Stegostoma tigrinum: one gene and its partners. The protein of the gene in region 1 interacts with the protein of each later gene in a biochemical or structural test. Links are inferred from orthologs where the notes say so. Each region holds a gene or a part of one and is shown on either strand. Other genes may lie near its edges.

What was found.
Region 2: the proteins of sntb1 (region 1) and gucy1a2 interact in a test that uses a peptide from one of them, tested with the Homo sapiens proteins (2 studies listed by IntAct, with this or other methods). The link is inferred for Stegostoma tigrinum from reciprocal best matches to the Homo sapiens genes SNTB1 and GUCY1A2.
Region 3: the proteins of sntb1 (region 1) and dgkza form a complex in vitro, tested with the Homo sapiens proteins (2 studies listed by BioGRID and IntAct, with this or other methods). The link is inferred for Stegostoma tigrinum from reciprocal best matches to the Homo sapiens genes SNTB1 and DGKZ.

Annotation. Positions count from the first base shown.
Region 1 is NC_081358.1:38,257,663-38,265,371, forward strand, and holds the start of sntb1 (beta-1-syntrophin), read right to left. Parts: upstream 3,052-7,709; 5' UTR 2,855-3,051; coding exon 2,567-2,854; intron 1-2,566. UniProt on the Homo sapiens protein: Adapter protein that binds to and probably organizes the subcellular localization of a variety of membrane proteins. May link various receptors to the actin cytoskeleton and the dystrophin glycoprotein complex.
Region 2 is NC_081359.1:69,654,529-69,661,650, forward strand, and holds the start of gucy1a2 (guanylate cyclase soluble subunit alpha-2), read right to left. Parts: upstream 3,051-7,122; 5' UTR 3,005-3,050; coding exon 2,801-3,004; intron 1-2,800. UniProt on the Homo sapiens protein: Has guanylyl cyclase on binding to the beta-1 subunit. Isoform 2 acts as a negative regulator of guanylyl cyclase activity as it forms non-functional heterodimers with the beta subunits.
Region 3 is NC_081370.1:1,029,765-1,036,786, reverse strand, and holds the start of dgkza (diacylglycerol kinase zeta), read right to left. Parts: upstream 3,051-7,022; coding exon 2,101-3,050; intron 1-2,100. UniProt on the Homo sapiens protein: Diacylglycerol kinase that converts diacylglycerol/DAG into phosphatidic acid/phosphatidate/PA and regulates the respective levels of these two bioactive lipids.

The DNA of each region.
Region 1 (7,709 bases):
CTCACCCCTCATCCCAACTGAAGGAAAACCCACTGTTTTGAAAATGGGTTTGCAGCATCTGTGCATCGCTGACTAAGCCAACATTTATTGCCCATCCCTTGTTACCCAGACACTACTGTGGGTCCGGAGTCACATATAGGCCAAAGCAGATAAGTATGACAGGTGGGGCTGTCTTTAGCTTTTTATTGTAGGTTTCTATCAAGTTTGTTTTATTCATTCACATGACAAGTGCAATGCAGGTGAGGCCAGCATTTATTGCCCATCTCCAATTGCTCAGAGGGCAGTTAAGAGCTAATCACATTGCTGTGGGCCTGGAGTCACTTGTATGTCAGGCAAGGATGGCAGATTCTTTCCCTAAAGGACATTAAGTGAGCCACATGGGTCTTTCGGGGCAATTGGCGATGGATTCATGGCTATCATTAGAGTATTAATTCCCAATTCTTATTAAATTCAAATGCCACCATCTACCATAGCAGGATTCAATCCCGTGTCTCCCGAACATTACCTGTGTCTCTGGATAAAGCAGTCCAGCCACATTACCACTAGATCGTCACCTCCCCTAATTTACTTTCACCATTTGCCATGGTTGGATTTGAATCCATTAGCCCAGACGATTAGCCTGGCGTTCTGAATTACAAGTGACATTAAAACCATGCTAATACCTCCCACCTAACTAATAAGTTGGTCGTATTTAGATGCTCAGTAACCTAGACTTAACAGTAGAATATCAGTCCAGATCCTAGTTTAAACAAAAAAAGCAAGAAAATCAGGAAAATAAAAGCAGGGGTGAGCAATCTGGAAGAAACTTGTTGGTCTTCCAGGACAAGGAGTTGACCCTGATTGAGTGTTGTAGACTGGCACCTTCCAAGGTGCTGGACTTTGTGCTGAGAGACACACTGAAGCTTGGGGCAGCTGTCACCAAGGTACAGTGGGGAAAGGCCACAGTCTGAGGTCCTCTGCCGAAGGCAAGTCGGGATCCCTTCAGTTATCGGACCCTCTCTGTGCTTCAAACGCACAGTCTTGTCTTGTTCGAGTAAGAGTTTGAGTTGGTTTGTTTGTTAGATAGAGTCAAATTCCAATATTTCTTTGTTTCCTTGATATGCTACGTTGTGGCTAAATGTGTACTTTTTTATGATTAAAGTACATTTTTGAAGAAAAAGAAAATTGCTGTGAAGATGTTGAGTTGATTCACTACTATCCCATAGAATCCTTACAGTGTGGAAACAGGCCATTTGGTCCAACAGCTCTCCAAAGAGCATCCCACCCAGACCCAGCCCCCTACCACTCCCTGTGGCTAATGCACCTGACCTCCTCATCTCTGGACACTACTGGGCCAATCCACCTAACATGTACTTCTTTGGACCGCGGGAGGAAACTGGAGCACCCGGAGGAAACCCACACAGACATGGGGAGAATGTGCAAACTCTGCACAGATAGTTACTGAGGGTGGAACCGAATCCAGGTCCCCAGTGCTGAGGCAGCAGTGTTAAACACTGAACCCACTGTGCTGCCCTTTAGAGGAAGAAATGCCACCTTCACCTGGTTTGGAACTATTAGTTAATCCTGGCCCTCTGTGATTAACTCTCAAGTGCCCCCCAAAGCTATTTGCCACCTTCACAGGGCAATTGCCAGTCACGTATAAATGTGGATTTTTTTTTAATGTCACAGCTGATTGGGCCAGTGATCGCAATGGTTTATTTTAAAAGCTGATACCAGTGACTTTGGGATGTTCCAGGCGCTATATGAATGCAAGCTAATTTATAAACAGATGCGGAGGCGCCTGCAACCAAGTGCACCTCCCAAGCAAAGGGGCCAGCCTTGGGTATTCGATGGGTTAATTACAGCTTGTAGAGCTCTCGCCGGCGCTACTGCAAGCCCAGCGATTATTAATCATGACTGGGCACTTTTAACAAAAAAAATGGCAGAACTCGTAAAGTGATATATAGATAAAAAAAATCCAGACTCCGAACTAATTCGGAGCGGTGAATAAAAGGTAAGCACGAAAAACAAAATCACAGCAAACGCAGAAATTATTGCCACACTCAGAAGTTGTTGCGGAAAGAGCTGAATCCTGAAACTCTGCTTTCATTGCCCATTTCTTTATTTAAAAAGTTAATTTTTGGAACCCCTTCACGGCTCAAAACATCTAATCCCCACCTTGGTCACAAGAGACTGATTCAGACACAAGCGTGGGCTAATCCTGACGTTAAATCGAAAACATTTCTCCTCTCCCTTTTTGGGAAAGGTCGAATGTAACCAAAAAGGTCAAAGTGACCAACTAATGAAACTGTGGCACGTTGAGATTGTGCAGTTTTGCTGTTGACTGGGAATGGGACACGTATGGAATTAGCAAAACAGAGTGCCATCCCATGTCAAATGTCACTGCAAGAAAACACTGCCAACTTTCTGCAAATGGAATTTAAAACGTGCAACTGATTTACAATCAAAAGTACAAAGCAAAACAAAAGCATCACTGAAAATACATTAACTCAAACAGCAAAAAAAAGGGGGGGGTGGGGAAGGAGACGACAGACTTCCCATTCTCTCAGGAGGCAACTGGAAGTACCTTGATGACCCTAACGCTCCGTTTCTTGTTGCTGATAGTTTCGGGGATGTGTTCAGGTAGTTCGGTGAAGGCGTTGCGTACGGCCGTGGATTTGGGGCTGCGGGAGGCGGCTTGGGGACTTTGTGAGCCCGCTCCGTTGGTGAGTCCATTCCAGGAAGCAGTGTGCCCAGGCTGCTCACAGCTCAGGATCAGATTCTCCTGATTCAGGGTGGCCAGCACACGATGCCAGCTGTCCCTGACCAAAACTTCTAACAGTCCACTTCTCTGTACTCTGCCGGCTAACGCCATCTTTGTCGCATTCTTAAAATGCCACTCGGTCCAGAAGTTGATAAAGCTCCGAATGGCTGTAGCCCTTAAGGGGAGATTGGAATTCCTGTTTCTCTCTCCCTCCCTCCACTTCGTTTAGTGCCAAGAAATTCTTAAGCTCGGTTCCTGTTTGAGATGGACAAGTTAGACAACAAAAAAATCTCCACCCACTTTCTGATGTGAACTATAGAGGGTGTGTGTTGGAACTGGGAGGCGTGGAGTGTAACTACATCGCGCTAAAAGTTACATTGTCTTGTGCAGAATAAATGAACCAGTCACTGGTTTAAAGGTGTGGGCCGTCAGGTGTAAATTTCAAATTGAAATTGACCCGGGAAATCCCAGGCTTTAATAGTTGGCTTCACCTCCTGCTTTGAGCGTGAGAGAGATTTTGGGGAGAATAGATTTCTCTAACGATAAGAGCTGTTTCACTCCTTCGATAATCCAAAATACAATTTCACCAGGATCCAAAAGTATTGGCCACACAATGCCTGTCGTGTACAGGCTGTTTCAACTTTTCATCAAAACGGGCTAAAGGGAGAGGTAATGATGCACCTAATCAGAAACACACACGCACAAATCATAGTTTAGCACTTTAATTTAAAAATCCCTGTCTTCAAGCCGAAAAACTTAATCCTGTCAGACCTGCCCCAGATTCCACTCACAGCCCCAACCATAAAAGAGCAGGGAACCTCATTATACCTTGAGCAAATGCTGTTCCTCTGATGAAACGAGGAATACACGAGAACCGGGACGCCATAAGGTACGCACAAATGATTATAAAAACAAGGTTTGTTCCTGCACAATGTGCTGTTCTGTTTGGTAAAGGGAATCCGAAGCCAAGATTATTAAAGAACCAGAGTCCCAGGAAAAGCAGAGTTGTTTGACAGGAAGGGTCACACACCCCTACCAACTACCACAATTTATAATTGCACACATAGCAAACAAGGAGAAATTCCTTAACTGAGCGGGAACCTGTTTTTTGTCTAATGTTAGTTTCTACAGAGAACTACGACACCATGTGGCTTTAAGAGAGAATGCGCCTTACACGATACCCACAGGGTAACAAAGTGTGAAGCTGGATGTACACAGGAGGCGAAGCAGCATCTCAGGAGCACAAAAGCTGACGTTTCGGGCCTAGATCCTTCCGGATGAAGGGTCTAGTCCCGAAACGTCAGATTTTGTGCTCCTGAGATGCTGCTTGGCCTGCTGTGTACATCCAGCTTCACACTTTGTTATCTTGGATTCTCCAGCATCTGCAGTTCCCATTATCTCTGATCGTGATACGGACAGGGTTTATTTTTAATGCAAGAATATGCTTCGAGTGATAGAGCATGACAACAGACCCTACGGCTCAAAGTGGTCCATGGTGCCCCCTCAGCTACTTCCAATTGCCTGCATATTATCCATATCCCTCTAAACCCTTCCCATCCATGCACCTATCCAAATGTTATTTTTAAATATTGCTATTGTATCTGCCACAGCCATCTTCTTGGGCAGCCCATTCCATATACGTACCACTGTCTGCATGAAGAAGTTACCCCTTAGGTCCTTAAAACGTTTCTCTCTCACTTTAAACCTATGCTTAAAGCTATGCTGGGGAAAAGACCAGATGCATTCATCTTATCTGTGCCCCTCAATATTTTATACACCGCAATAAGGTCACCCCGCTCTCTCCTACATTCCAAGATATAAGGTCCTATTTTGGCCAACCTCACCCTATAACTCAGGCCTACTGGTCCTCGTAACATCCTCATAAATCTTCTTTGCATGCTTTCCGCTTTAACTATGTTTTTCCTATAACAGGGTAACTTTATTCACAAAAAAAACCCTTTATGTACATAATTTTGGGCGGAATAGATTTCTCTAATTATAAAAGCTGTTTCACTTCTTCAGTAATCCAAAATACAATTTCACGAGGATCAAAGTATTGGCCACACAATGTGTGTTGTGTACAGGCTGTTTCAACTTTTCATCAAAGCTGGACAAAAGGGAGAGGTAGGGGATAATGATGCACCTAATCAGAAACACACACGCACAAAATAGTTAATTAAAAATAAACCTTGTCTTCAAGCCAAAAAAACAATTCTGTATAGTCTTTGCATATCAAGAAAACCAAACATTGGAACCTGATATTCTCTGCATTTGCAAAACCTAGAGGCATTTCTTATTTCTGCAGGATCGTATTTACATACATCTGAGGCAACAAGAGGGCCTGACAGCTGAACAGACCCACACTGTACTTACGCAGAAAGACCTTAGACAGTGGCCTTTTCCCCATTGCCCCAAGCTTTAGCGCATCCCTCAGCACATAGCCCTGGACCTTGGGATGTTCCAGCCTGCAACACTCGGTCAGGGACAATTTCTTGCACTGGAAGACTAACAAGTTTCTGACAGACAAGAACATCTTTCACCAAGTTGCTGGTCCTCTAGGTGGCATTGATGTTGGTCTCAGACCATAGAGCACAGTGCCCTGTGTCATGGAGCTGCTTGGGACAAACATCGACAAAAGCCACTGCACTTGTCTCTTCACCCCCCTCATCCTGCTGACCACCTTGAATTGATCAGACTTTCCAATACCAACGTTGGTGAATGCTGAGGCATCATTGCTGTTCCACTTTAGGACCCAGCGGAAATCATGACGGGAAGTTACAGCGAGTTTAAATTCCCAATAGGCACATACCTGCTGGTCAGACACTCCACCTTAAACTGAAGTCAGTGTTGGAAACTTTGGGTAGATACGTGGGACTTACCTGGATACTTTCCCTACAATTGTTATCAAGTCACAAACAATGTAACCCAATTCGTCCCAAACCTCCTACACAGAACCCCACACCACTAATCACAACCCCCACACCTAACTTCCCATCCCACAGACCCATTCACTTCCCTGGACCAAAACTGCCCAAACACCTCACCTAACGTGACCACCCTCTTACGCATATGAGGGGAAGTGACAGCCTCCAGAAACACATTTTTTAATGCACAGGGACCTGGATTCAAATCCTGCCACTACAGATGTTGGAATTTAAATTCATTATAAATCTGGAATTAAAAGTCTAACGATGACCATGAATCCATTATCTATTGCCCAGAAAGACCCATCTAGTTTGCTAATGTTTTTAGGGAAGGAAACTGCATCCTTACCTGGTGTGGCCTACATGTGACTCCAGACTTACAGCAATGCAGTTAACTGTCATCTGGGCAATCAGGGATGGGCAATGAATGCTGGCTGAGCTAGTGATATCCAAATCCCATGAATGAATATTAAAAAAAACCCCACTGACTTCAATACTGAGGTTCTTAACCTGGCCACCTCTATCCCAGCTGCACAAACCCTAATATCACTGACCCAGTACATCACTAGACCCTCCGAAACCTGAGTACCCACCTTCACTAATCTGACTGGTCAACACTCACCACACTCTCCCATAATCCCTGATTACCCATCCTCAACACTCACATTGATCTGACAAACTACCCCTCAACTCACATACCATCCCCCCACCCCTTCCTGATTTGACTACCCACTCTTGGCCCGATTACCACTGCCCAATTTCTTGTCCTTACAACCTATTTCATCGGCCTTATTACCATTCCTAGCTCTCAAATGACCCGATTACAGATCCTGAATTCTCAGTATCTCTAGGTAAAGGTGAAGTCTCCATAATCCCACTGAAGCATAGGACTTTAACCTGAGAGTTACCACACCTCGGGAAAGGGGAGAGGTTGAGAGAAGAGTCCTTCATTGGTAACCTTCAGCCAGTACAAGAGTTGACCCATGCCATTGGTGTTACTCTGCACCTGTCCAGCCAACTTAGCTGACCGACCCTCATCCATTTACCCAGCCCATGACCTGACTGCCCACCCCAGGATTAACTACCTTGTCCCAACAACACCCTGACCTGACTACCCACACTCACTGAGTGCACATCCTCAAACCACCTACTGGCCCAAGCACCCAGGCAACGCCCAAAATCTCTGGCGTGACCACCCAGGGAAACTGGCTGCTGTGTTTTCTCCATGACAACAGTCACTACTGAGAGAACTAGATGATTGGTTTACAGTGGTTAATTGGCAACAGACATTATGGCTTCTTCTACAATAGGGAAACTGAATGCAGATCATAAACATTTCAATTCAGTCCATTCAAATGATTTTGAGGTGTCTGTTACCAGTCACTTTAATTCTAAATGCAAACCCTACTCTAGCCAACTGTCTTGGAAAAGTTCAAATTTTTCCGTTTTTGGACTAAATTTTGATTTGGCACTTTTTTTCATCTTGTCATTTCTAGTACTGAAGTAGGTGTTTTCTCTTTTAGTCATCTAGTACTTAGAGTCACAGAATCACGCAGCACTAAAACAGAAGCTTTGGTCCAACTTGTCCACATTGACCATGTTCGCAAACTAAACTAGTCCCACCTGCCAGTGCATGTCCCAAATCCCTCCAAACCCTTTCTAATCATGAATTTATCCAAATGTCTTTTAAAAGTTGTTACTGTACCCACATCCACCACTTTCTCTGGTAGTTCATTCCACATATGAACCACTCTGTGTAAAAAAATTGCCTCGTGTTCTTCTCAAATCTTTCTCCTCTCACCTTAAAAATACACCCCCTAGTTTTGAACTCCCCCTGCCCCCCAGGGGAAAGACACTTGTCATTCACCTTATCTATGTTTTTATAAACTTCAGTAAGGTCAACCTTGACCTCCTATGCTCCAGTCAAAAAAGTCCCAGTAATTCCAGTCTATTTTTATATCTCAAACACTCCATTCCTGCAACATCCTGGTAAATAGTTTCTGATCTCTCTCCAGTTTAATAATATCCTTCCTATAATAGGG
Region 2 (7,122 bases), on another chromosome or scaffold:
GATGCCGGTGAGATGGTAGGTGAGGACAAGGGGTGCCTGACCATTGTTTTGGCAGGGAAGAGAGGAGATGAGGGCTGAAGTGCAGGATATGGGTCGGACTCAGTTGAGGGCCCTATCAACTACAGTGCTGGGGATGCTCAGCCGAGGAAGAAAGTGGACATTTTGGAGATTGCCTTATTGAAGTTGGCATCATCGGAACTTTTAAGATGGAGACAGGGGAATTAGAAAATATAATTGAGTCTTTACAGGAGCAGCGTGTGAGAATGAATAGTCAAGGTAACTTTGAGAGTCAGTTTTTTTGTAGTGGATATTGGTGGCCGGTCTATCGCCAGAAATGGAATTGGAGATGTCAGGGGACGGTAGGGAGGAGTCAAAGATGGACCAAGTAAAGGTGAGAACAGGATGGAAATTGGAAATGAAACCAAAATGAAATTTTTCAATTCTGGATGAGAGAGGGAAGGAGCACCCATGATATCATTAATGTCCCAGAGAAAGAATTGTGGGTGAGGATTGGAATAAGGAACGTTCCATGTACCTCGCAAAGAGACAAGTGCGAATACCCAGGGCCACACATTTGGCCTGAAGGAAATTTGAGGAATTAAAAGAGCAGCTGCAGCACACTCTGCGACATCCATAGTTGAGCACCTTAACATCCTCACTCCTAGGTCACAGGCTGAGGGTTCAAATCCTATTCCCAAAGATATTAGCAGAAAGGCACTGCTGACATTGCAGCACATTCTCCAGAAATGTCTGTATTGTTGTAGGGGCTGTTTTTCAAAAAGATATTAAGAGAACAGCAAACAGTGCCTAACAGATCGAAAGAAATTTATTGTACTCAGTGATTTAGGAACTTCTGCAGTCATGAAAAGTGTAAATAAATGCAGGATTTTTTTTTTAACAGCAACAGATACCATCAACCTTAATTTCATACCAGGTCATTACCTATCTGAATGACTGAGCTAGGGTGTGGATTAAAAAGGATATTGTATTTTGGAAACAGTACATTCAATGGCCCTGGGATTTCTGGCTCTATCTCCTCCATCCGAGTATAATCAGCACAGTGATTGTAACTCAGCTAATTGCCTGTCCTCTGCCACTGCACATGAAATAGTGGCTCTCCATCCCTCTCAGTTTGGCCAATTGCTCTCTGGGACAGGACTTCCATCCAGATTGAGATGGAAGTTCTACTCTGAAACAAGAAGCTGCTCCCAGTGTTGTAATTCCCGTACCGAGGGCAGGATACTGATTTACATTTTCAGTCAGATGGGTGGGAAATACACCCCACAAAATCCAAATCATTAACTCATTTCGTTCCACAGATGTTGCCTGACTTGTTGAGTATTTGCAGCATTTTCTATTTTGATTTCAGATTTCCAGCCCACTGAGTTTGTTTCTTTCGGGATATCAGATCTCAATTTCAAAAACACAACTTCTTAAACTCCAAAGGATGCATACTAGCCTTTGAATGTTTGATGTTTGCAATTAAAAGAAAAGATTAGAAAATTTGAATAAAAATTGTAACAAATACATTTAATTTTAAGTACTTCAAAATCTGCCTACAATACAAATCATATTAACTTGTTTGTGGACGATGATCAACAGTCAAAACAATGAGATGAAATACGAAAAATTTATACAGTCATAACAGACAAGTCCAACTCATACGCACAGACCAGACATCCCAATCGGACTTAAGTCAAATTTGCCAACATTCGGCCCATATCCCTCTAAACCAGTCCTACTCATATAGCCATCCAGAAGCCTTTTAAATGTTGTAGTTGTATCATGGTACGATCCAGAAGTGCAAGTTGCATTTAAAACGTATCTATTTCATTTTCCTTTCAATAATAAAAGATGGCAATAAGGAAATACAAAAATCAAATTTAGAAATGAATAAACCATCCATTTGTGATGGAATGGTGCGCCAACTACGCAGCAAATACGGCGATCTAAAAGTCGTGAGGACTGTTAGTCATATTTCGCTGAGAATATTAAGATTTTTTCCCCTTTTGATGATTTCCATTAGTAACAGCAGTGCACCAGTGAGGGAAATGAAAAGAACGGCATTCTCGAACATGAAAGCAATCGCCAGACAATAATTAATGGGTTCGAATTAGCGCCATCACGTTAGGCAGGAACATCGCCTTTCGGAGTGATCGCCGGAGCGGCGAGCTCTTAACCAACGTTTGCGAAGGTGTCACGTTGCTAAGAAAAAGTTGGATGGCCCTTTCAAACAATTCGCCATATCAACGCACCTAAAATTTAAAAGGTGAATGGATTGCAATTCTTTCTCTTTCCACAGAAAGGATTTGAACATCCGTGGGATCCCCCCCCCCCTCACCCCCAGAACGCATTGAGATGTATTTTTAAGATGATTTATTACTGATGGTGTTAATTGTACACGTGAATTCATTCGCTAGGCGACAGAAGTTTGGAAGCCTCTTTAAGCATTCCACGCTGTCGTTATTTGTAAAATCAAAACACGGACTTTAATGTTTAATACGGGTGAGAACGCAGACCTGAAATGTAGCAGCTCCAAATGGTCACTAATAAAACGTCCTAGAACTTTTCACCAACATAGTCACACGATTAACAATGATCGACGGGGACAGGAGACAATACTTAACATGAATCCCATTGAAGCGCCAATGCTCAGAACTATGTGTGATGATTTAATGCACAGGGGTGAGTGAGTGGGTATGAATGTGAAGGGAATGAAAACGCCGTAGAAAGAGGGACTCAACGGGGCGTGAAGCGAGAAGAATGAGAAAGGGGGTGTGCGCATTTCTGGTTTCTTTACCGTTGGAAAGACAAGTTTCCAGATGCTCTCTCCCAAACAGTCCAGGTTAACGCGCCTGCGAGCAGCGTTCCTGCTGCCAGCCCCTGAAACTGAGCGCTTCCCATTGAACACCCGTGAAAACGGACATCCCCCGTCCTCAGGACTCTCCGGGTAATCCGAGCCGGTGGAGCTGAACGATTCGGATGAAATCTTCCTCTCTGACATTCTGATCAATCCCGCACATTAGTCCGAAAAGACGCCCACCCCCGAACTGCTGCTCTGCTCGGCAGCTCCGCACATCTCCCAGCTTTATAGCCGCGATCGCCACAGGAAATTAGTCATCGAGAACGCGCTTTCACTTCACCGCTCGTTTCTCTCGAATCCCAAACAATCACATTCGCTCCTTATGCTTCTCACCGAGAGCAAACATTTTTAAAGCTCATGGTTCTTGTGATCACGTGTTTTCGGACGTCTTTAATGTCGCTGCGGTTAACACGTCCTAAAGGACAACGAGAGCCGCTAACCCAGCTCTCCATCCTGTCTGGGGAAATATTTGCACGTCTCGGTAGTGATACCAAAGACCACATTCACAAACTACCTTCTCTGATCCAAACAAGGACCTTCGAATCAGCTCAATAGTGACACACCTGTTTCCATCTAAAAACACAAAGCAACATTTGGGGTGCTGTTAATAAAAACTTTGCCAAGAAGCAGAACCTTTTCCCCACAAAGCCATAGAGAGGTTGTGCTTCACACTCAGTATTGGAAGAGCAAGCAGTTTCAAATGAGTTTAAGGATAGTCTAAGACTTTAGAGTAGATTTGTGGCTCGGGTTGTGGTTGGTTGGATAGTGTATGAAACAGCTACAAACGGGAGAGGGCACACTGTATCAAATGTCATATACGCACAGCAGAAGGAAATGGTACAGTGGTACCTGACTGGGGTTTCAATCTAGATGGGGGTTGAGGAAGGGTCACCAGAAAAGGTAACTCCGGCTTTTCCATCACACCTGCTGAGCTTTTCCAGCAACTTTGTCCTGATTTACAGCATCCGCATTTTTTTCGGTTTTTCACGGGGTTATCAAGAGCTTGACGGTCGCGATAAAATTATTGTAAATGTGCTGCAGAACTCTTAGGAACTGACGGTTCTTTTTGTCTATCTTAGCTGAATGTCATCCATTGGAGTGGTCTCTAACTGTGACCTCACATGGAGGAGTTCAACAAATATTTTGTCCCAAAAAAACCTGCGGGTACTGGAAATCTGAAACAAAAGCAGAAATTGCTGGAAAAGTTCAGCATATTCGGTGGCATCTGTGGAGCGAAAGCAGTGTTAACTTTTCAGTCCAATGACCCTTCTTCAATTTATTTCCAGTGCTGGATCAGTTAGGTCAGTTCTGGTTTGCAGTACACAGTAATACCAACAGAGTGTGTTCGATTCCTGCATCTGCTGAGGTTACCATGAAAGACTCTCTTTCTCAACCTCTCCCCTTGCATGCTGACTCGGGTTAAACCACTGCCAGTGATCTCCATAGTGAGAGAGCAGTGACTACAGTGACTTTACCTTCTGCTGCAGTGTAGTGCCCAGGGAAATTTTAGTTACCAATGATCAGGCTTATTAGGACCCAATAAGTTATTCCTCAATTGTCTCATTCTTTGTGTAGAGTGGTGTTGCTCCCGTTGGGCTAAGTTATTTTAAAAGAGTGATTTTTTTTCTCATCCTAGAATGTTTATTACAAAAATACCATATAATTCATTGAGAAAATAAGTATGGCATGTGAAGAATTCCTAAAAGGACACCTCTTAAACATTTATCACAAAGTGAGGAGGACCCTGTTAGTTTTAGCTCAATGAATAAGATAAGACAAATGGAGCGTTACTGGGAGAACATCTTGGTAGTAACCATAATCTAATTAGATTTAAAGAGAGTGCAAAATAAAAATAAAAAGAAGTAAACAGCTGGAGGAAAACCAATTTTATTGACTTGAGAAAACATTCATTCAGCACATGCAGACTAGAACAAAGTTTGTCCAAGAAAATGAGAAATGAGCAAGGTAGATGTGAAATACCTGAGGTAAAAACTAAACCTTCCTCTCATTGAGAGGAAGGATGCAACTCTCTGCATGACAAAGGAAACAAAGGTTAACTGGGAAACTGTAAATTGGAATACATCCTAAATTATCAAGGAAAGCTAGGATAAAGGAAGCTCTGACCACAATCTTTCAGTCCTCTGTGCATGTGAGGGGATACCAGATGACTAAAGATTTGCAAATGTTACATCTTTGATCAAAAAAAGCTCAGAGATGGGGCGAGATAAACCTGGTAACAACAGGTCAATGAGGCTAAGGTTGAAGATGGAAAAATTACTGGACGCCTTTGTCAAGGTCAAAATTAATTCTCACTTAGAAATAACATCCAGCATAAATGTGTAAAGGTGAATTGTGCCTGACAAATGTAATTGAGTTATTTGAAATAACGGATATGTTTAATGAAGACAGCAGAGATTGCCATCTGTATCTCTATATTTACGTGTGGACTTTTGACAAAATACATTTGATAAAGTACATTACAGATGTACTTAAAAATAGAAGCTCTAGAACTAAAAGGATGGTGGTAGCTTGGGTGGGTAACTCAGGAACAGAAGGCTGAAATTAATTGTTATCAGATGGTTTTCTGACTGGAGAGAAATAGGTAGTCCCTTGAGAGTCAAAACTGTCCCTCATTTTTGAATATAAACATGTTAGTTTTAAGTAAACGGATTACAGTTTCAACATGACAAGACAGTAAATAATTTGCAAAGCCATTATCCAGAGTTTTTAAAAATGCACCTATATGGAGTCTTCACAAGGAAAGGATACCCAAATAGCATAATCTGCTGTTACCTCTGTGACAGACCACAACATGACCAGACTCACTTATCACCCTACCCAACATCAAGGACATTTCAGAGATGACCTTACAACTACTCAGACCTCTAGGTATCAGTGTAGCCCACAAACCAACAACCAACCCTATGACAGTTACTGACAAATATAAAGGATCCCATACCCAAAACCAGTAAAACCTGTGTAATATACAAAATACCATGCAACGTCGGTTAGAAATGCTACATAGGCCAAACTGGAAGAAAACTTACAAAATTGATTCACGAAAACTTAAACAACTGATACAAAACTGCATACAGACAATGAGGGACACAAAGTCAGCTAGGACAACACATCCAAAATCGCACAAGTCAAACAGAGACACGCGAGGGAATTCCTGGAGGCCTGATATTCTAACCGGAAATCCATCAACAAACACATTGAATTAGAACCTGTGTACAAACCACTGAGAAACAGAACCAGAAGTAGTACCAAGCACACCAAAAAACTGAGGCATATAAATAACAAGTGGAACAGAACATCAATGCCTCACCGGAGGCACACTGTTGATGTTACCTAGTAGGGTGATGAAATGTTTGCAACCAAACCCACCAGCTCGGCAAGCAAACTTACAACCTTATAGTAAATAATATGCAAAATAGCATCAGACTTGACAAGTGCAGAGGGGAAAGCAATGGAGTCATGGTATTATCACTAGGCTAGTAATCCAGAGAGCCACGTAATGTTCAGGGGATGTAGAATTAAATCATTTTAAGAATCTGGATAATGGCCATGAAACATTGGCAGTAGAGCTTATCTCTTTCACTAGTGTCCTCTAGGGAAGGAAACAATGACGTCTTTACCTGGTCTGGCTTATATATGACTTCAGACCTACAACAATGTGGTTGACTTTCATCCAATGATACCCGCATCAGATGAACAAACAAAATGAAGATAAATAGGCAAACACATGGCAAAAGCAATTTAATGTGAACGTTTTGGCAAAAACGCAACATGAAGCAGCAGTGTAATCCAGATGGTACTATTTTGAAAGGAATACAGGATCAGAAGGATTTGGGATACATATAAGCAAATATTTAAAGACAACATTAAGATTGATAAGGTAGTTAAGTATATTCTTAGTATAGCTCACTTAGAAACAGGGACATTAAATACAAAAGCATGAAATTAACACAGGATTTTTACAAATCATTAACTGAATTTCATTTCAAGTGGACAATACTGGGCACCACAATTAAAAAAGTTGTTAAGGCCCTGCAGAGTAGTGTGGAGGTTTCCTAGCATGAAAACAAAAATAAGGAAATTTAGAAATAACAGTGTGGAGCTGGAAGGACACAGCAGGCCAGGCAGCATCTGATGGACAGGAAAGGTTTGGGTCAGGACCCTTGTTCAGATTTCCTACTCCTCTGATGCTGCCTGGCCAGCTGTGTTCCTTCAGCTCCACACTGTGTTATCTCTGACTC
Region 3 (7,022 bases), on another chromosome or scaffold:
TAAGGGCAGGGAACTTTTTTAACATTGGAATGCAGCATTTCTCAGCTGTTCAAAGTGTATATACTGTAAAGTCGAAAAAGAGGAGGCAAGTAATAGTGTTTTCAACTTGAAGATATAAGTTGTAAGATAGTTTGAAATTCCTTGCGCGCAGTCTCAGAATTTTAGCATGTTCACCGTACCCCGAAGAAGCTGGCACTGCAAGTCCCCAGCGCAAAAGATATCAGCCTCAGGGAGCTGTGGATTGCTTCCTTCCTGACAGTGATGTAAGTAGCTTCCTGCTCAATCTGCTTCGGAATCACACCAAGACCTTTACCGACTCGGACAGAACTGCTATTAATAAATACTCTCACATGAATCTCTCTCCACAGACATTATGTTAATTGTGTAACCAGAATCGTCTACTGAAAAAAATTTCTGAGAAGGGTATTCAACGAGAAGTGGTGAATTCAAGGTAGTGGAAGATGTGTAAGCAGGGAAATATGCTAGAAATCAATTCTTAATTCTTTAGGAAATTGCCCAGAGATACACATCTATGCAAAAACAGCAGAAAAATACCTTCTTGTTGTAAAACAAGACACACTTCCCAGCATTTAATGAGTCTAATTTTAACATGTAAGAGTGGGCAGAGTTGGTGGGAACTGGGGGGAGACCAAAATCAATCCACAGTTAAAATAAAGATCATCACTTTCTCACATTGATATTTGGCCTGAGGACAGTTTAGATATACTGCTAGGCATCAAATCTCCTTGTCTCTCTCAGGCCCAACATATGATTGAACAAGTCCACCAATTAAAGAACTAGGTTGTGAGGCTAATGGATCTCAAACATTCCATTGAGGGAGAACATTGCAGGCATCCAGCAGCATTGTCTAAGGGAAGCCTGTTGCTACTTATTGATCATTTCACATGAAGTTTCTCCACAATGTCAAAGTGTGGAATCTTTTCCGTCATTATTACCACACAGTGAACTAAATGACATGCTTAATTGCACCAACAACCATGCTCATCATTTCTTTCACAATCTTTGAGTTAAAGATGTGCGTATACCTTACCGTGAGACTTGACCTTCTAATTCACCCACTTACTTACTTACTTCTGAGAGTTTGGTCTTCCTGCCAAACTGCTATCCTTCAGAACAGCAAAGAGGAAAGCGGATGCAGGAAGTTTATAATCTCCTCACTTCTATTTATTGCGTTGGGAGACAGCATTAAATCATTCACGGCAAACGACTTTCTAACTGCATGCAACACTCTGTGAGCCATGTGCCATTTTGAATAAAGGGGAAAATTTCACTTGCATGCACCAGCTCGTAATACAAACTAACTCAAAGCCATCACTGAAACATTGCAGGACAATCACTTCAGATACTGGGCTCATATGATACTGTAATCTTGATTTCAGCTGCTGGCAAAACCAAAGGAAAATGGGAAACATCTGTATTCTTTATTCTACCCTGGCTGCTGTATTTAAAGGAACAAACTGAATAACAAGTGCTAGATATTAGAGCAGAAATTAATTAGTAGCACTTTCAACAAAGGCAGGTTGAGCAGAACCGTCTTGTTTCCAGCCCTGTCATGGAGGAACTTCAAACTCAAGGGAGCCTGATTTCTATGCCTTCACTGTAGGGTACTACAGTGCACGGGAGCACTGCCTCTATTCAATGCAGGAAAGCTAGCTGCTTGCCCACAGGACTACAAGCTATACCACCAAGGTGGGATCAGGTATATGTTTTGGAAGGTAACCAGCAGAGAATGAGAGCGACAGAGCGCGCGAGAGAGAGAGCGAGAATGAGAGACAGCGGGTGAGAGCAAGAGAGTGCGAGATGAGAGCGAGAGCAAGATGAGAGTCAGCGAGAGTGCAAAAGAGTGCGCGACAGTGAGAGCAAGAGAGAGAGCGTGAGCATGAGTGTGAGCGTGAAAAAGAAAGCGCGACAGTGAGAGCGAGAGAGTGAGTGAGAGCGAGAGCAAGAGAGAGAGAGAGAGAGACAGGTATAGCGGAGAGCAAGCACGAGAGGAAGGTCCCTCCACATCAAGCCACCCCACCTCTCCAACTCGACACACCCAGCCCAGACCCTCCCCATACCAACAGCAAGAATACATACGAGAGGAAGTTGCTCCACGCTGGGGAATGTTTGGCCGCAGGGCTCCTGTGGGTCAAGTGGAGGGAATTTCTGCGGACGCTGTGCCTCCACCGCGGTGGCAGGGCGCGGGACGGCCGACTGATGTTCAGCGAAGGTCTCCTGCTCCCCACCGACACCACCCGGTACAGTTCTGGCTCACCGGGAGGGATGCAAGCTGCTACCGAGCTCCGCTGTGTGCCAGGGAGAGGGATGGTGCTTGATCGCCGCCGCTGAGTCCGTCTCCTGTATTTCCCTTGCAGCCCGTAGGCCGCTTTCCCTGTGTGGACCAACTCGGCAGGGACCAGGTGAGAGGAGTTCCTCCTCAGGCAGCGAGGGGCCCTCAGGAAAGGCTTGGTGTAGACGGGCCTGTAACGCCAGGTCGAACGCTGGAGGGCCTCTGGGGTCCCCGGGGGAGTGCACACACCCGCTTCCTGGTCGCTCCGGCTCCTGCCCGCAGACGAGGACTCCGAGCCTCCAGAAGAGGAGCAGTTGCTGTCAGAGTCATCGGGAGCAGCGCCGGCCCTCAGCCCGCAGCCTGGCTGGGCTGTGCCCTCTTCATCCTCGCTCATCTGAATGAGGCTGGCCAGCAGCACGGAGGGCCCGAGCAGGTGGCTGTCAATGGCCCGCAAATTGCTCCCCGGCTTCTGCTGGACCATGAACCTGGGGTTGAGGTGGAGGGCGGTGGTGCTCGACCTTCGGCGTGGGCCGCTGCTCCTGGCCAGCGCATGGAGGTGGTGGGGGCAGTGCGGCAGCTGCAGGCTGGACCGGCGCCTCTGCACCAACAACGCCGAGGGCATCCCCGCATTCGAGCGGCGCCTGACTTTACTGCCGGGCACCGGGCCTCCCATGCGCCAACCTGCCCGTCGGCACCGACCAGGCAACCTGACCCCTGATGGCGCCTTTGTGAAGTGCCTTTTGAAGAACGTCTCCATCCGTTTTGCAGCTGTTCCTGGGGAGGGGTGGGGGTGGGGGTGGTGGGTTTTGTTGGGTCTGAAAAGAGATGCAGCTCAGTGGTTGGGGGTGGGCGGGGGCGAGAGGCAGTGGGATGGGGTCTCCCGTGGGCTGAGGGCTGTTGAAAAGGCAGAGAAGGAATCAGAACAACATCATCATCGGATCAAGCTCGCTGTGCGACAGACACTTGCCGGAGGAGTGCCAAACAAGACAGTACTCCCCCCCCGCCCCAACCAACCTCCTTTCCTAATGCTCTTCACCCAGCACAGAGTGCCATCCTAGGGCCAGGCCGCTGCTGAGAAAGAATGGACAAGCTTTGCAAATGCCGAACCACAAATGGTGAAAGTTGTGCACCAAGGAGCCCCAAAGCAGCGAGAAATAAACGACACTGCTTGGCTTTCCTGCTCAAATACGCTCTCCCATTTCCTGCAGCATGTTTGCATCAAGCAATCCCAGTGTGTAGGCACACTGAAAAAAACTTCTGTCAGATTCTGAATGGGCCATTGGTACAGTTTAAAGTCTCAATTGCTTCTGGGCACTGAATGCTATTCTTACCACCATATCTGAACACCCGACGCAATAGGGTTCGCTGATGTGCATTTTCATTTAAATCCTGAACAGGTTAGGCTGATGTTGGAAGGGCTGCTGGTGAAGGGCTGCTGTCTGGTTGTATGTGGCGTAGCGCTACAACAAAGCAAGTTAAGGCGAGGCACTTAACCAACATGGTCAAAACTATGAAGGCTTCAGTAAAGCAAATGGGGAGACAGTGAACAAAACATGATGCTCTCCTACTTAGGCTCATTGGGTTCGGGAGGTATTTCATCAGGCAGGATGATAACAGACATGGGTCTGGGTGTGCAAATTCCCACCTCTGCCTCGATTAGGTCTGGGGCAGGAGGGCCATGGACAGGAACCCTCAACTCAGCCCCCCATACTCGACAGTCAACTGAAGACCTTCATCAGTCAATATACATCTATCGTGGAACCTCACTGCACTGTTAGTGTTCACCATGTAGGGAGTACACAAAGCAAACACTGTTAGGATCACTTGCTGGCCAAGGGGTAGATCCTGTCATCCAAAGGCCTGACTGAGGGGCCACCCTGGGAAAGGATCAAGGTTGAGAGCCACTGTCATCCATCACAGCCCCCATCCCATCATCACCCAGCTTTGAACCCGAGAGTCTCAGTGACCCTGGATATCAGGTGGCTGCAGTACCAACAGTGGCCACTCTACTTATCGACCCCACTGAGCAATACACAGCTTCTGGCCTCTGATTGGGTGCCAGGTTTTAGAAGGGGTGTTCTCTCCTTGGGGGGCTGGATTTCCATCCTTGAGGACTGGGGACAAGGACCACCACACTCCAGTTAAGAGGCTGATTAGATGTGTCTTTCTGAAAGGAGGTGACACAGGCCTCTCTGCAGCTCACTGGAAGATGAAATTGCAGTTGGCTCCATTAAATATCTGCCTAACATTCCACTGACATGACCAAAGAACACTCATTTAAGATAAAAGAACCAGTTAGAGATGATCAGAGCTCATTATTATCATTCATTGGAAGATAGGGGGTCAAAGTCCTTCCCTTTCAAGAATTTATACTTGTAATACATGGAAGGAATTAATACTTTCATTTTCAAAGAAAAACTTTGACTGAGGCTGCACAGCTTAAAACTCTTGAGAACACTTTTTTTGATGAACATTAACTAAAGGAATGGTTGTCATTGACAATTCCAGAGAGACAACATCATAGACAGTTACACTGTTCATGTTTGCTGGGGCAGGCCTCTTTAGATTGGGTGGATCAAGCTCTAACAAACAATATTCAGGTACTCAGTGCTTTCCTGCCCTCACTGCCTTTCAGCAAGTGCAGAATCTTGAATTCAGGCAAGATGCTAGAAGCGGCAAGAGTAGGTCCTAAGCCTTTATGGAGTAACTGGGGATGGGCAATAAATGTGTCTGGTTCAGATGACAGAATGGTCATTTTATTCTTTCAGACAATAACAGCAGCCAATACAACCCATGTCTCAGGAGGCAGGAATGAAACAATTGACAGGGCAATGCCTCTTTGGAAAGGCTAGTAACAGAAGATGCGACCATCCCCTTAGTCCAGGGGTGAAGCACATTAACAACTAGATACCAGCCCGAGAAGAAGGCAAAGGAAAGCTTGTACAGAGAGGTATTTTATCTCCTTGTTTTTTTTGCCTCTGGAGGAAGGATGCACAGTCTCAAATTTAGAGTTGGAGGGGTCCAAATGAATCACACAAAGGTAGAGAAAAATATGAAGTCTTCTTTCCCAATAGGTTGTGGGCACAGGACTGAGCAGGAGAGTCAAGGCTGAAGTTACTCATGGCCTTACCCAATAGCAATCTGGGAACAAGCAAACAAGGTAGAAAAAGCTTTGCCTCAACTCAAGCTTCATATTCTAAACTGAACGGCAGCAAAGGCTTGTGGGTTTGTGCGAACACCCTGCTCCTATTGATAACGCTCACAGATCCTCGAGTTTAAAAGGCACCAAACCCAAGCCATACTTTGGGAGATAATAAAGTGTGAAGCTGGATGAACACAGCAGGCCAAGCAGCATCTCAGGAGCACAAAAGCTGACGTTTCGGGCCTAGACCCTTCAACCCATACTTTGGGAGGTTCTGTCTTGACATAGGCTGACAATGTTCCCAAGAATGAGAACTGAAGCCAGAGGGTCAGGCTTTAACATTGACTGGGAGGTCCCTGATACGATATACAGCTGTGTTTCCTCTTAACCACACTGATGTCCAGCATTATGCACACACCAGTGGTTGTGACGTGCCAATCAAACAGGCTGAACCACTCTCATAGGCACCCCCCTGTAGTGAAGGCAGTTCACGGAGTTTGTACAGCAGCTAGTAAAAGTGTGCCATCAATCACCATACCAGGGTCTGTTTGCTGTACCCTAACAACACAAGCTCCAGTTGTCCTAAAGAACATATCTTACACTGCACTCTGTTGCCCAGTGATTCAGTGCTAAATCTCACATTGATCCTTGTTGTGTGGCTCCTTAGTACTTTTACACCCAGTAAGTCAGAGTATTACTTTTTTTTAAAAGCACTCATGTACAGATATGTCCACGTGAAATGCATTGTAGCATTGCTCCTTTAATAGCTGCACACACTCATAATTCTTTAATCTCTTCGCCAACTAACACAGCGAACATTATGGACCCAATTGGCAACCAGGCTACCACTTTGCCTACCAACATGTTATTCACCATGAAGCTGCATGTACTGGATGCACGGCCAGTTCTGACCAAGAGTGACACCAACAGCATGGGCTCAATTTCCACACCAGCTGGGGTTACCATGAAGGACTCTCCTCCTCAACCTGTCCCTTCGCCTGAGGGGTGGTGAAACTCAGGTTAAACCACTACCCGTCCCTCCTGACAATACAGGACCCCAAGGGTCCGGGAGGATTACAGCGACTTGAACCTTGCTGGATGTCCAATCCCAACAGGGCTCATCTGACAGCAACCAGTGGTGCCTGCTACCCCTCTAGTAGCCTGTGGGAGCTAAGAAAAAATGGAGCTCCCTGTTGACTCGGTGGCTGAAGAAAACTGATTCAACAGCAACCGTGCTCAAATTCAGCTTCTGTGACTCAGCTTCTCCCTGTTTGCCCTTCAGCAGAAGCCCAATTCTGCTCTATCAGTAACTTTTCTGCAGTCTTGTTACAGTGCTTCACTGAAAGCACGGTGTCTGCAAACTATGAGGGTTCTGGCATCTGGAGGTTTCAAAAGGCAGAATAAATCTCACAGATAATCTGGAGGCGGGGAAGAGCCAAAGTCCATTACAAATATAATACTACGGTAGCTGTGAAACATCTATGCAAAGGACACTGGAAGCTGCCGCCAATCTGAGAAAAGGTCAGGGCCACGAGGTTTACAATAACGCTCCAGCGTTCCACCTATGCTGAATTACACAAGCCTATT